Linked DNA regions of Caenorhabditis elegans. The protein of the gene in region 1 purifies or fractionates together with the protein of each later gene. This does not show direct contact. Each region holds a gene or a part of one and is shown in the gene's direction. Other genes may lie near its edges.

Region 1 (6,957 bases):
TTCGAAAATCTAAAAATTTTTTTTTTTAATTTTGCAATTTTTTTTAATTTGGAAAACGATTAGGTGATTTAATCACCCATTTAAAATTGAAAACCACAATTTTGTATTTCAAAAAAAATTGCAAAAATTGTTTCCAAAATAATTCAGATATTCGAATTGCAATTGTTTTGCAAAAATTGCATTTTTTAAAAATATTTTTTAGATATTTTCAAAAAAAAATTAAAATTTCAGAGAACGTCTAAAATTGCTCTAATACTTGTACAAAACGAAAAACAAGATAAACACATTTTCAAAGCAAATTTTCATAAATCATGATTTTGATTTAAAAGATGTCTGAAAAAATTCAGATCGTCTTTAAAAAAATTTAAATGATTAATTTTTAAATTAAAAAAAAATTGAGTTGCAGGATCATGTCAAAATACTTCCCTAGTTTGGTACACTTGTCAGAAATTTTCAAGTCCAAAATGTAGACATTCCCAAAACGCATAAAATGCAACAATCTATTAGTAATTTCTAAAGGGTATTCTCGATTTTTTTACGGCTTGCACACTCATATCCTATTTACCACCCGACACAAAACACAGTTCCATTTGAGTCATTTACGATCATTTGATAAAAAATATAAAATGGTAAAAGCCACGTCATATGATTCACACTGTGTTCTCTAATTTTTTGTCTGACACTCTGCTTTTTCTATTCAATTTTAGTACTCTTTTTACATGGAGAACGAAGAGAAAGAGACGGAGAACTGAGATCAAAAGGTCGCGCCGTGTTTGTTTCGTTGTGCTATGTGCCTGGTATATATTGGGGTTTGTGACGAACTTTTTTCCTGCAAAAGACAATTTTTGATCGCTATTTTACTTTTAACTCTTTTTTTTTAGTCTAAAAAGTCACCTGTGGAAAATTTCTAAATTTTTTTAAATCTCAGACTCTTTTGTACTAGTTTATGGTATTAATTGTTTTTTTTTTTCGTTTTTTTTCTTCATATTTTAAATTAGAATTTGAAAAAGTATTTTTCAAAAAACTTGACTGGAAATTCAGAACTGATTTTTATTCAAATACTTTTAAAGTAATGCTAATTTTTGTTTTTTTGAATACTTTCCGGGAATTAAATTTTTAACTGGAAATTCAAATTTTAGGGTTTCAAAAAATCTGGCCAGAAATTAAAATTATTATTTCCAAAAAGTTTTTGCCTGTACATTCAAATTTAGATTTATCAAAAAAAAAACCATTGGCGGGAAATTCGATTCTTTTCAAAAAAAATGTATGAAGTTCATATTTAAAAATTTTTCGAAAAAAATTTTTGTACGAAACTCAACTTTTAATTTTCCAGAACATTTCGGCTGGAAATTCAATTTTTTTTTCTAAAAATTTTCGCGAAATTTTCATTTTTATTTTATTTTAACTTTCTGCAGAATTTCAAATTAAACACTGTTTCCAGAAGGTTTTAGCAGAAAGTTAAAAAAAATAATTTTTCCAAAATACTAACAAAATAAAATTAAAATTGTTCAATATTTTTGAACTTCAATATTTCAAAATTTCGGCGGTAAATTCAATTTTCAATTATCAGAAAATTCTGTATTATTTTGCAAAATTCTAGAAAATTCTAAAAGTATCCTAAAGTGTTTCAGAATGTTCTGAAATTTTTTAAATGTCCATACTCACACTTATTTTTTGTCAATTTTGCACGCCACCAGCAACCTCTTGTCGTTTTTCCTGCAAAAGTACCTGCGGTATTTTTTCACCTTTTTCATAGATAAAAACGGTTTAAAAGTGCACCACTTTTTTCTAAAATTACTATGTTCCTTTTTATATTGATTGCTTTATTTGATTATGTGTATGTGTTCTATTGGTATTTCATTTCTTACACGATTAACTAATCGTATCAAAATAAATAAATAAATAAATACATTTTTGAATGATTAATTTCATTCCTCAATTTCGTAATATTGCATTGCACGGTGACCATTAAAACACAAGTGCAACTAAACAAATAACGACAAAAAAAGCACCGAAAATGCACTGACTCATCATGCCCCGACAGACGACACGTTGGCAACGCATTTGTAGACTTTTAAATTGGACGGGGAGTCGTACATTCATTTGATCTTTTGTTCTACATTTTTGCGGGATGTAAATATTTCGTGTTTTGCGCGGTCTTTGTCATTTTGCGGCTGCATTGTTCAGAGATCGTTGCAAATATTTCTTATGTGATTTTGTAGACCGAAAATTAAAAAAAAAACTGTTGCTATAGAACAATTAATTAGGAAGGGCATACCTACCGTATTTTTACTATTAAGTATGAACTCATTACCGCCGAAACCGGGCATTTACAAATTTTTTCGTAAAAATCTGAAATCAGCGTCGGATTCAGCATCCTAAAAATCCTATGGAACTACAATTTCGGTCAAAACCATCAAAAATTGGGAGAAAAATGGCTTACAATTAAAAAATCGAATTTTTTTCTTGTTTCCTCCGAATTTTTGAACTATCTAGATGAGATTGAAGTAACATTTTTTCTTACGCTGAATCCGATATAAATATTAGTTTTCCACAAAAAATTCAGACATGTCCTAAAATTCTAGAACGAATGAGGGATCCCGCATACCGGCCGGCCTTTGCCATCACAGCTCGAGGAGCTTGTGCAGTTTGTTGTAAAATCAAAGGCTTGGTGTTAGCACTGCTTAGTGCGATTGGTGTAATTTATCAACGTCCGACACTTTCGGAGTTCCGCGCCACACTATACAGAGGACGCCGGCTCCTAAACCCAAGCCCTGCGTTTGTCCCACAAGTCCCTTGAGATAAGCGGGTGATATGTCCTCGATCAATGTCGGCTGCGCATTTACTATAAGATCTTTAAAGACTCGTTGCTCAGAATTATGCTAACATTGGCAAATATTCCTTGTTTTGCTCAACGATCTCTTCTCTGAGATGCATTTGCAATCCTAATCCGATCAACTTTCAGAGCACTTCTCTCTCAAAATGTGCAAAATCTGCGGATCTTCAGAATCTGAGCCCCACTTTGGCGGGACTTCATGTCGGTGAGAGACTTTTCCCGTAAGCCCAAAAACTAGTCAGAATTTTTCAGAGCCTGCGCTGCATTTTTCCGCAGATTCTATCACTCGAAAAAGCTCGGCTTAAAATGTACATGTAAAACCAGGCAGTCAAATGCTCATCCGTGCCGAAGTTGCAGGATCCGAAAGTGTTATGAAGCTGGGATGACGCCGGAGAGTAGGTTTTGAAGATTTATAGTTATGCTTTAGTTTTTTAACTACTCGAATTTCAGAGATCCAACTAACCAGGGACAAGCATTTGAACAGAACTATAAAACTGGAAGGCCCATGCTCCTCGTTAGATGTAGGATTTAAAGCTTAAAAGCGGCCCGAAGAATGTACTTATTTTTAGACTCCGATAACTTCCCGCCAAACACCAAACTTATATTGTGTTCTATCAAACTGGCACGAGTTGAAAATGACTAGAGAAGAAATGAACAGTGGATCTCTCAATAATTGCAATATTTTCGAACTCACTAGTTTTGTGCTAAGAGATCTTGAATTGACGTGGCGGATGGTTAGCAAGGCCTTCCCAACTGTAGAAGTACTTGAGGACAGGGATAGAGTAGGTTTGACTTTGAAGTTCTTCGCTCTAAAAACTGGAATTCCAGCAAGCTCTGTTACGGAACTTTGTGCCAAAATTATGGCAGATTGAGCCAATCCTCGAGTACCGGGAGTGTGCTGAAAAGTTCGATAATCTGGAGGAAGAGGATTATGAAAATTTGCTGGTTGGGTTTTATGGTGGAACATTTCCAGAAGGGAAGGAAATGTCTAAATCTGAAATTGTTAGGTAAACCTTCAAAAAATGTCGGCCATTAAATGCGAAAAGTTTCCAGTAACTTCCGGCCATACTGGGATTACTACTACACAAAAATGATTCTTCCGATTTCGTCAATGGGGCTCGAAGAGCTTGAATATATGGCTATCGTTTGGCTGGCGTTCTTTGATAATGGTAAGGAAAAAATCGGAAAGTTATGAAGGTTCTGAAAATGATCGGAACGTTCTGAAAATCGCTAGAGGTGTAAAAACAACTTTGGGATTAGCCAACGGATTTTCTGGATGGTTTTATAAATGTCTAAAAAAATTCTGAAAAGATCTAGGAACTTCTGGAAAGACTTGGGAAGTTCCAGAGGCTTCTGGACACTTGTACAAATTTCTGGAAAGTTTACAACTCATGTAAAAAGTTCTTAAAACTTTTGAATTTCTCTGAAAATTTCTGGCATGCTTAGAAAAATTGAAAAAAAAAACTGATTTTTGGAAATTTTTGAGAAACGACTTCTAATTGTTCAAAATAAGTGTTAAAAAATAAATCAAAATTCATATTTCCTCAACTAGGATAACTTTAAAAATTTCCAGGCTACTCAAACATATCTGACAATTGCCTCGAAATGTGTAGGGATATCCAGAAAGTGATACTCAAGGAGTTGCGAAACTATCAAATCGATAGGAACTTTCATGAAAATCGTTTTTTCGTTGCCTTAGAGGCTTTGCAAATCATTGAAAGAGGAGAGAAGAAATTCATGGAGGAGATGTTGGTGTGCGAGATGAATCATATCCGGATACATGATGATTTCAGAAAGATTATCAGAGAACCAAAATTGTAGTCTTGAGAACAGTATAATAACAGTTGTAAATATGTTGATTTTGTATTTGAATTTTTGTTGTCGCTTTTAAATGAAAATGTATTAAAACGTGCTTAATTCAAAAACATTTTTTATTTCCACAATAAAGTTGAAGCGTTCGAAAGAGTTCACATGTTGTGATCATCCAGTTGTTTTGAGACCATACACCTTTCCTTCCGAACGAACCAATTTTGCAGCTTTACCGCATATGGTGCACATGTACATGTAATTACGATACGTCGGGCTTAATAAAATTGAATATAAATTTTATCTGTTCAAAGCATTGACTTACTGAACATGAGCTTCTGACCATAGTAATGAGAGATGTTCATCGGGTAGAGTCGTTTGAAAATAAACATCAGTAAAATAGTCTGTGTTCGTAGCAACACCAGCGTCCCAAATGATTTCTGGTACATTATAGCTTTTATATTTTGTTATCCCTCCGGTCCAGTGATGACATGTCTTCACTGAAAATAACCGTTTCTATTAGGAGTACTAGTATAAAGCAATTGCCGACCGGCAAGTCTACAAGAGAGCCAGTGTTGCATAATCTCTTAAAATTTTAAACCTAAATTTTCTGATGGAATATTGAAATACTTGTTTTACCTGGAAATAAGATTACTGAAAAATAACTGAAGAAATATCTCAAAAATACTCTGAAAGTTGAAAATTCCCAACGTTTTTTCTCGTTAATTTGTCTAATATTATCCGGCAATTTTCAACATTCAGAGCAGGGCTGTGCGGCCTTTTTCTCGACGCATCTAAAAATTCCATTATTTTCAGTGGATTAGCAAGAAAGAGTTTGCGAATGATTATACTGGTTGAATAGTTGGAGCAATAAGCTTATCACTAAAGAAATAAACTTTGAAAAAAAGTGTACACAACATTCCATACCATTCGCAATGCGCCAAGTGCCGAATGAATCGCCTCTCGGATGCCGGCTCATTGGTTCGAGGCGTATATCTCTACGCTATAACCACTTTTTTTCAAATGTTTTTAAAATGATAAGCTTCATGCTCCAGCTATTCAACTAGTATGATCATTCAAAAACTCTTTCTTTCTAAAACACGAAACAATTGAATTTTCAGATGAGTCGAGAAACGAGCCGCACAGCCCAGATTAAAAGTATTTTTGGGAATATTTTTAATTGTTCCACACCAAGTAAGTGTTATTTGCAAATGAAGCAAATACTTTTCTATATCTCATCGCATTATTTAAATTAAAAAATTCTTGGAAAACATGCCGCGTAGAACTCACAAGTTTTAGATACTGCAACCCATTCATCTCGCGAGTCAAATCCTGTCAATTCTGCTCCAAAACTGTTGCAACGAGCTTTTGCTTCATAATACGTGATCTTTTCCGTCTCATCAACCTTAAATTCTTTATAAAATGTGTAAATTAATTTCAGCTTACGTAATGACAGAAAACTGATTCGCTCGTCCGGTTGTATACCAACATTTCTTCAGCCCATTCTGGCTTTGGATCACAGTCCCCATGCGACCAACTGAATTCGTCTGAAAATATGCAAAGTTGTATGAAAATGTTATCTGTTAACTCACGCATTGCACAAATAGCAGGAGCTCGCATTGCAGCCATTGTAGGATAACGTCCGTTTCTGAAAAACATTAATTTTTAAAGCTTATAACTTGGCTCATTAGATCGGTTCCAAAGCTCATCAATTTAAATGAAATTTTTGTTCTCTTTTATTACAATGCGCCTTCACACTGCATTTGCAGAAAGGTTTCAAATCGATAATATAATAACTCACTTGTGGAAAGAGTAACCTGTGAGCATGGCAATATTCATCGTTCGAACCGATTGAATCAAATGAAGTAGAAGTATTTCCATCTTGTTGAGTACGGTAGTCCCCTCTTCCACAGCCACTGAAATAGTTATTTGAAACATTTAAAATGCAGTAAAAGGGTAAGGTAAAAACTCACTCGCTCTTAAATCCACTTGTCATGTAGAATTGATGATCGGTGAGAAGATGTTTGACGTAATTTTGCTCGTTTTCAGTCGGAACCATCGGAATGCTGTCCACATTGAGAATGTTCCCGAGAAGCTTGCATTTCTCATTGAGCTCACTCGTGTCGAACTTTTCAATCTCATCGCCGTACTGAGTCGGTCCACCTGTGTTCTTGATCAGCGAGCGTTGAGTGACTCTGAAATAATGATTGAACTCATGACATTCAATAAAAAAAAAGACTAACGTCAAGTAACTGGCAGAAGTGAAAATGGCTCCATGAGTGTAGACATGAATCGGGTAGATCTCCGAGTACAAC
Region 2 (9,085 bases), on another chromosome or scaffold:
TTTAAATGAACATTATAAAGAAACTTACTTCAATATCTATAGAAATATGATTTTAAAATGTAAATATGTAAATATGATTTTAAAAATATCAAAAAAGTAAGATAAGAATATTAAACATTTTATCATGCCCTCAGCCTAAAAAACGTTTTCTGCTTTCATTTCTATTCTTGTATTTTTCTAAGAAAAGCGAGAACAAACAGATATCAGTGGGGGTGTGGAGGGTAATTCAATTAAAACCAACATCAAGAAAGCTTCTTTCAACCAAGAAATACTCATATTCATACCCCCGCTCAACACCACTGACCTCGTTCCGCTCAACACCACTGACCTCGTTGAAATTACTATCGAAAGGACAAAACGTGTGGGGGGGGGGGGGGGGGGGGGGGGGGCTGTAGTAGACTCAAAAGAAAAATCGAAACACGCGTACAACACAATAACTTTTCTTCCCATTTCTCACTATTTCTATTTCTGCTTCCGTTGACTGCTTGATCCTATCCCGCGCCATTCAGCAACACCTTCAACGGGGGCACCTTTTGTTGTGTGAGAATTTCGCGTCCGATTTGATTTCTAGTCAAAACGGACAAAAGACGTAGTAAACGAGAATACAAAGTGTACAAGGTCCTGCCATGTAACACGTGTCAGTACGCCAGTACGGATGGCGCCCCGCCTTTTTTTTGCTTCCACCATCCTTTTTGCCGCCTTCATCAACCATTTTTTCCTCTCTCCCTCCGTACGGCAGCGCCTCCTCTCTGTGTGTGTGTCCATGTTGCAGTCATTTGCCTGCCAAGCTTCTGGCTTCCCAGACGCAACAATACAAACAAATCCTGACAGGCGCGACGACGGGCAGCCTCAGCTACAGTATCTCATTATTGGCACCTCTAATTGCCGTATCAAGTTTCAAAAAACGCGCGTCTCCCCGCTTTCAAGGGGAACGCAAAATTGTCGACGACATGTTTATCCGGCTGCTGCCGGCCAACCATTTTCTCACAGCCACCGGATATTCTGAGATGCTTCTTTTTTTGTTGTTGTCGTTAGATGTACAGTGCCATTCCGCATATCATTGATGTTAGGATCATCTAGCATCTACCAGAATTTTTCCTTTCTCTGAATTCTAAAAAACTGATGGTCTTATATGAGGTAGTATTTGGTGTATCACATATGTAATGTCATATTTTATTAGCTCTGCATACCTCACTCATTTTAAAAACTCTGCTCCAACCCTTTCCGAGAAACTAATTCTGGAGCACAGATAAAATCTGCAAAACTTTGTTTATATTCTTTCTGAAGTACTGCCTTCCATTCACGCATCTTTTCCCAATTCTTCCCGTTTTCACCGTTGGTGAAAGTCATAGTTCTTCAGATGACCACCACTTACGAATTGTCTGTATAATTATGGTGAAGTAGAGAATACGCCGTTCTCCTCTAGGTGAGAAAATATATATCCTATTATTTTCTCTTCCAGTTCAAGCATCCTTTACAGTAATCCCTTTGTAAGTATGTTGATATCATTCACACATTTGATGTTCTCTTTTCCCTTTCCACCATCACTTGAGAAGTAATTAATTGCATTTTTTTTCTTGCACACACTTGAGCGGTCTCCTTTTTCATTGTCTGTTGTTTTTTGTTGCTTTTTTTGTTCGCGATTCATCAATGTGCCGCTCTTTTTCAACGTCATTTTTCACACACTTGTTCCAAAAAACCTAACAATGAAAACAATAGAAAGGGAGCTGCAAACCAAATTCTTTATGCATGGCGCACAAAACCAGCAAATCAGCTGGATGGAGTTTTAAACCACCACGACAGGAACTTAATTTGATTCAATACACTTGCCAAGTGGAACCGCTAGATGTCCAGCTCTTGAATCATCTGCGAGAGCAAGTAAGTAGAAAAACCTGAATAATCAGGAAGAGAATCTTTTCATGAAGTTTATTTGACATTCAATTCCTAATCACCTAATCAAATTAACCCTAGCTGATCATCACTTTTTGATCATTTGCTCGGCGGGCACTACTATCCCGGTGCGTGCGAAATAATCAGTAATGCAAACTCAGTCGCACGCAAGCTTACGTCGGTGTCGGAACGAACGGCTTAGATGTATTTCACAGGTTCAAAGCAGCACGTCACTATACTTGCAGGCACAGAACACCGATGACTTGTCCGTTCTTTTCAACATTTTGCCACCGGTTGAACAACTCGTCTCGGAGATTCCGTACACATTGCCACTGCTGGAAGCGATTTATTTGAAATGTGAATTGGTGAGGGAGTCAGTAATAAAAATTTAACTTGGGAGTCGCATTATGCATATTTGTACGAATTCAGTTTTTAAATAAAAACCTAATACTTCAAATGCTTAGACTTAAAAAAATTTTCGGTCAAATTTTTTGTGAACAATATTGGTGCCAATTTGTCAAAAGCAAAAAATTGAACTTTTTGTGAAATTTCAGGCGTTGCTGTAGGTTTGAATCCTTTGAATGATTTATTTCAATCAATCAAAACACAATTATATTTTAAAACTCGTAGGAAATTTATTTTTGGTAGATTACCAATATTATAATTGGTAAAAAGTGAGATTTCGCCACATTTTGACTGTTCATAAAAATTTCAAAAGTGTATTTAAAAGCTTAACCAAGCATTTGGACATTTAAGCACAACATGAGCAGCTTTTAACAATATCAACAGTCTGACTAATAAGGAAAACTTGGTACATTTAGAAATTATACAATGTCTGCAATAAACATTTCATGTACCAAATTTCAGCGAACGGTGGAAGATGGGCTAATTCTGCCGACAAAGGAATTGTGTTGTGAGCAACTATTCTGCCAATTGGTCTGGTGGACAGCATTCTGTGAGCAAAGCAATTCATCACTTAAAAAACACTGTGCCATGTTTGCAGTAAGCTTTCTCGTCATTTTTCGTCCTAACGAAATGTGTTTCGGATTCTCCTTTTGAATGTTTTTTTTTGTTTAAAATGCAAATAGTTGTTCGTGTTCGCGAGCGCTTTTTCCAGAAAACAGCAGCAAAAACACGTCGCGTAAGACTGCGCAAAATGCATTTTTGCTATTTTTCACGGCGGAATTGCTCACTTGTCGAGGAGCCGAGAGAAGATAATCAAATAACGTTTTTGTGACGGCGTATGCATCCTCCCAACAAAAATGAACATGGAAAAATATTAGAATAGGGTTCGTTTCAGGAGTTTCAACCATGTATTGCCACTTTGATGTCGATTGTCGGAAGGCAGTGTCCCGATTTGGTGAAAAGAGCTCGCGAAGATAGAAATCAGTTGAAAACATGTTTAGAGAGTCTAGGATGCCACGGGCTTGTTAATTGCTCGTCAGGATTAATTAGGTTCGTTTTTTCTTGTGATGGAAAACAGGATGTATAATTTGCAGAATGACTGACGCCGTTCATCTGGAATTGTTGAAGCATGTGGAGAATCTGAAAATTATTTGCTCACAAATAAAGGAACTTCAACATGATCCAAAATCAAATGCACCGGATCCATCATGCGAGAGTCACCAGAGACAGATGAGCATGAGATTGTCACAAGTGTTTGAACGATTGAAGCTTAATGAAACTCTTCAGTGTGTACTTGAAGAAACGTTTCAAAATCAACACGTGAGCAATTCTTCATTATTTGAAAACAAGGGAAAACGTTTTTTTCCATTCTTGAGTACTGTCCAAAAAGTACAACTCCTATCCAAGAATTTTTTAGCTGTAAACAAATATTGCTAAAATATGGCTGCCGCTTGCCGGAAAGTGTTTGAATTTTGGCAACCGATTGTTGCTCGTTGTTAATTTTGATGTTCGGAAACTTCCGCATTTGCTGAAATTTTTAAATTGAATTTTTGTTTTTAAAATTTGCTCTGACTGCATGAAAAGATCCAAAACGTCCACGTAAATGAAATATGACCATTTTTCTCAAAAACAATCAAAAATAAATGTTCTGCACGGTGAGAACACAAAGATTTAAACTTTTGTTCGGATGTTTTGGGGGACTACGTTTTTTTTTGCAATATAAACTGAGTTTCAACACTAATTAAATGATTAACTTTTATCTCTTTAACCAAATTCCAGCTTGGCTCATTGCTACGCATCTGTCGTAAGCGTGTCGGATCGGACAAACTTCTCATCGGATTGTTTAATGCATTTGCAAGAGCTGCTCCGGAAGACTTTGCTCTTCAACAGATGGACCCAATTGTTGCACAGCTAATCGTAGTGTTCAATAATTCATACAACAAGGTAAACAGGAACTAAAAACCAAAGGTTCATTTTTTGTACTTTTCAGCTATTGCAAATGTGTCCTGATGATGTGAGCTCCACGAGATTGTCTTCGGGATCTTCTACATCCTCCGTATCACAGGGAGCATCTTCAATCAGTATGCCAACTTGTTATAAGTAATCTGTGATTTTTGTTTTCAGATGAAAAATTTTCTGTTCGACCGTCGGAGAACTCCATTCAATTTGACAGTCTCAAGCAAGAGGTGTGATTTTTTAAATTTTTAATTTAGTACATACTACTACTCTCTAAAAATAATTCTTATTGAATTTAGATTTCAAAATTGCGAAAAGAATTACGAGTTGCCAACTACACTATTACTCAACTAAGGGAAAAGTCCGAAGAAGACTCGGTGATTAAAGAAAGGTACGTATGAAAAATACAACTCAAAAAGTGTCGTATTTCATCTAAACTCTATCCAGTTCCCTTCCACTTCCCGACTATCCGGATGCGACCGCATATTATAATTCCGCAACAAAAGAACAAACGAGTCAATTGGTCACTCGATTCGGCGAATTGTTCATATTCGCTAGCAATGTACGTGAAGATCAATTGAAACGAAAAACGATGATCTTGAATAAAACTTTCAGGAACTCAGGGATTCATTGGATACTTTACCGGAAATGGAAGGAGAGGACGACTTGCAAGCTATTTTCGGACATGAAACCTTGATATTGACTTACAATGTGGTGAAAGAGCACATTGAAGACAGAAAGCTAGCGGTATTGAAGGCATTGGGATCTGGTTAGTAGTGAAGGTTTTTTGCAATATCACTTCACAAACTGTCGGGTTGTTCTTTATTTCAAAATTTAGGGTAAACATAGAGTAACGAAAATTTTGGTCATTGTCTCATTAGATTCAAAATATACAAAAATATAAATAATTTACCAAATTTCGTAGTGAAACGTTTCAAAAAATTGGGTTTCAAAGTTTCATGCCTATTTTCAGCTGAAATCAGACTTTTTGCAAAATTGTCAGTGTCGCAGTAAACGGAAATTTTTTTTTTAAATATTATTGCTCACTGTTGTATGTTCGATCGTTTATTACTCATATTTTCGTTGATTTAAGAACATATTCGCTTTATAGGTGCACACATTTTTTCCACATATGTTCACCCATCCACTGAAAAACACATAAATCAGAAAAAACGTAGTTACCTACCAATATGCTGTATAGGATAATAACTACATACAATTTAATTTACCAAATTTCAACTTTGTTTTTTTTTTAATTTAGGATTTTGGCTGAAAACAGGATCATTTTCAAAACTTCGAACTGCCATAACTTTTTTAAAAACATTTCAAGACATTTCATTACTAAACTCTGTTGTTTTGAGCTATTTTGAGTCTGTTAGAGAGTTTTACAAAATTTCGCTACCTTTAATAATCAATCAACAATTATCAAACCACAAGAATTCTTAAGAAAACATATCATTCAAATTTTTGGAAAAACTGGATCAACTTCGCCAATGTTTAAATGTTTAAGCATGTGACTTTACACATTTTTTTAACACGTTGAAAAATTTGTGTTTTCAGTAAATAACAATGCCAAAGAATCGAATGAATTGACAATGTTTGAAGATGCATTGAGTTCACAGCTTCACAAAGAGTTCACCACAACAAAAGCTGGAGGCCATATTGCAGAGGTAACTTAAAAACTTGTCATCAAAATTTTAAAGCCTGACTCAAAATGAATGCAAACTTCTTTCAACCATTTGTTCTATATTCTCAGAGATCCTAGTATCAAGAAGCTAAAACTTATAGGTTGACAAATAATCACTACCGACTACATATAAATTATCTAAATATAATTTAAGAAAAAAAAAAGTAAATTGACAAATACGTCAATTATTTGCCGACCTAATATAACATTTTTCCAGGATCTGTGCCAGCAAGTATTCAAGAAGCTTGACGAGTACCCCGGAGTTGAAGAATGTCTAACTATTCATCAATACATCCAAAAATGTATATCAATATCATGGGACATTCAATGCTGCCCGGAACGAAAGTGAGTCTTTTTTTTGTAATATTGGTCCCCAGCCTCCATATAACTTTTTCTGGCACGTCATTGATTTTACTTATTTAAATTATTCACACCTCCGCCGCAAAACCTCCCCCTCCGAAAATCTAAAATTGTCACTGCAATTTAGAATTTTTGATAGGGTTCGAATTTTTCTGGAAAAAAATACCCCAGCATCTCCAAAATTGTTCCTGGTGATGATTTTTGAATTTCAGAACGTCACTTAAAAACTTCCGATGTCTTTTTCTGCGATATTTCTATTTTAAAATATGCCGACCATTTTTCTTCTCTGGCACTGACAAATTGAGGTTCATCAAAAGTTCGTGCTTCTTGACACCTGAGCATAGAATATACAATGAGAGACTTGTACACCCACATGTTTGTAATGATGAATAACTTCCATTTGCAAATGTTCATTTGAAGATGGGGAATTTTTTTTGGCTATTTTTGTAATTTCTTATTCCCTAACTTTCATAGTATCTAGGTATATCAGCTGGAGGAAATAAAAGTTGTTAAAAAACTTTTGTTTTCATTTCTAGTTTTTAGAATGACTGTTTTTCATAACCAAAATCAAAATTCAAGTGATGTCCAAATAATCACATTTCCGTTTTTCAAGTGATTCCCCCCAATATCTGAACTTTTTATGTGGTGGAATGTTTTTTTTTCATGTTTTGATTTTCAGACTTGATATATAAGATTTTATTTTCCATTAACAATTCTAGAAATCCAATCTGTTTGCCTTCGTGTAAGCGAACACATTGGAAAAAAACGTCTCGAACTTTTGCTCGAATCCTCAGAATAGAACATATGTGCCGACCTGACAAACAGTGCCACAATAAATCAAATCCCAGCCACTGCAGAAAAACCTGACTTTTCCGATATTAATAAATTCAATCCACCCACGGAACGCGCCCATAACTCATCATATCCTATTGCAGATTGAAGTTAGAGTACGACGGAGCCGAGTTCGAGCCGTCCCGTCATTCCAGAGGAGCTTACTCGGGAACAACCAACCAAGTTGTCAACTTCATATGGCCTGCGCTGATTGATACTTCAGACAATCGAGTCCTTCTTAAAGCGATTGTTTTGACATGATAAGCAATGAATCACGTGGTTTCTGGGTACACCAACAAAATTCGCTCAAGAATTGAAAACTAATTAACCAAGGTGTCCGTTAAGTATTTGCTCCATCCTCAAAAGTTATAATCATATGATATTTTGAGAAACTTTGATTGTTAACTTCTAAAGTTGTAGCTTTCTCGGCCAAATCTATGTATTTCGTGTAAATAAACAAATGTTCATCAGAAAGTCACTTCAGCTTCAAGTCTTTTATTTATTTTATTGCTTTACGTGAATACTGATTTTAAGACTTTTTTCATATTTTTCTATACGAATACGAAAATGTTGAACGACTTCTGAAAAACAACATTTCTTTAGGAATTTCAATAGTTTAGTAGTGATGCATTAATTAGTAGATGACACTTTTCTAAGTCTTTCTTTTTTAAAAGAGTTTCACAAAGAAACGTTCGATCTATTTTTCTACTCATTCAGTTCGTAAAAATTGGATTATTTCCATGTTTTTTGTTAGAATTTCCTATTCAAGTATCTTGTCACTTATAAAATGAAAGAAAACGTCAGAAATTAACGCGTATTCTAAGAAATATTACCGGAAGGTGATTCAGTCTAGCGTGAAGCTGGAGAAATTACACGTTTTCTCATCAATTACACTGTAAGAAGCGTAAAAGAGCAGCGAGTGAATTTTCATAATATTTTACTTTTGTGTCTCTTGACCTGAAAGACTTGAGGAAAGAGATGGAAATAAATGAATCTACTCCGTATTTTTGCAAAATTAACGTTCAGACTAGATAACTGTTCCAGAAAACCAGCATGTCATTTTTCAAATAAAATAATCAGGCTAACTTGAACTTTCTGATTCTTGTTGCAATACCGTTTTTGGTAAAGTTTTGCAAATTGGTCGATAATCTGAAAATTGCAGAAAAGTAGAGTTACCCGTCGTCTCTGACATAACTTTTTTTTTTCATGAAGATTCTGTAAAACCAGCAGCGCCTGCCTTGCCTAAAAGATCAATTCGCGCCTTCTGTATAGTGCGGCGCGGAACCTGTCGGCTGTTGCATATCGCACTATGCGGTCATTACACGTCAAAATGCAGAATTGATGCGATGAGGCCGTCGTGAGGCCTACAGCTTTTAGGAAGTCGCCTGGCCGTAACTGTGTTTATCTCACAAGAGCAACAATCGCTCAAGTTTGCTTTTGAAACAAAGCGAATATTTTCTAGACCTTTAAACATTTTCAAAAATACTCCTTCTGATATTCTACAAATATAATTTCTTAGGATTAGTAACATTGTCCCTGTAAACTTTACGACCTTACTATGTATCAGCCTGAAAAAAAATTGAAAAATAAAACATCTGCGAAGTCCATGCTTTCTTGCACGTTTTATTATGCAATTTCTCGTCATTGTGATTTTTTGTTTCTATTCCCATCTGCTTGCAACTATTTTTTTACTCATAACTCTCCGCTGATTATTCCTCCCCATTGTGACTCTATGATCGCAGAAACTAATAAAAAGATAATGACGAATCCCAAATTTTAGATGACTTTTTAGGCATCTTCCATGCTCAATGAGCTTCTCACGTTCTAATCAAAAACTGCTTCTTCCCCCGCATCCTCATAAAAACAGGCTAGTATTACTCATATCGGTGCCCATTTTTGACTTTATTCTATTCAACATGAATTCCCTTGTCGCAGTTGAATCAAAAAATAAAATAA

The links. The genes of interacting proteins can lie anywhere in the genome.
Region 2: the proteins of nhr-112 (region 1) and F49E10.4 fractionate together in Caenorhabditis elegans (co-fractionation; one large-scale study listed by BioGRID). This does not show direct contact.

The regions. Positions count from the first base shown.
Region 1 is NC_003283.11:16,719,853-16,726,809, reverse strand, and holds nhr-112 (Nuclear receptor domain-containing protein), read left to right. Parts: upstream 1-2,965; 5' UTR 2,966-2,982; coding exon 2,983-3,041; intron 3,042-3,088; coding exon 3,089-3,231; intron 3,232-3,286; coding exon 3,287-3,357; intron 3,358-3,405; coding exon 3,406-3,618; intron 3,619-3,664; coding exon 3,665-3,843; intron 3,844-3,889; coding exon 3,890-4,005; intron 4,006-4,409; coding exon 4,410-4,657; 3' UTR 4,658-4,749; downstream 4,750-6,957.
Region 2 is NC_003284.9:5,874,149-5,883,233, forward strand, and holds F49E10.4 (Mitochondria-eating protein), read left to right. Parts: upstream 1-1,718; 5' UTR 1,719-1,749; coding exon 1,750-1,878; intron 1,879-1,947; exon of another isoform or gene 1,948-2,075; intron 2,076-2,135; coding exon 2,136-2,255; intron 2,256-2,757; coding exon 2,758-2,892; intron 2,893-3,190; coding exon 3,191-3,345; intron 3,346-3,389; coding exon 3,390-3,615; intron 3,616-4,074; coding exon 4,075-4,239; intron 4,240-4,285; coding exon 4,286-4,376; intron 4,377-4,419; coding exon 4,420-4,481; intron 4,482-4,550; coding exon 4,551-4,642; intron 4,643-4,698; coding exon 4,699-4,813; intron 4,814-4,866; coding exon 4,867-5,020; intron 5,021-5,811; coding exon 5,812-5,921; intron 5,922-6,155; coding exon 6,156-6,283; intron 6,284-7,233; coding exon 7,234-7,390; 3' UTR 7,391-7,604; downstream 7,605-9,085.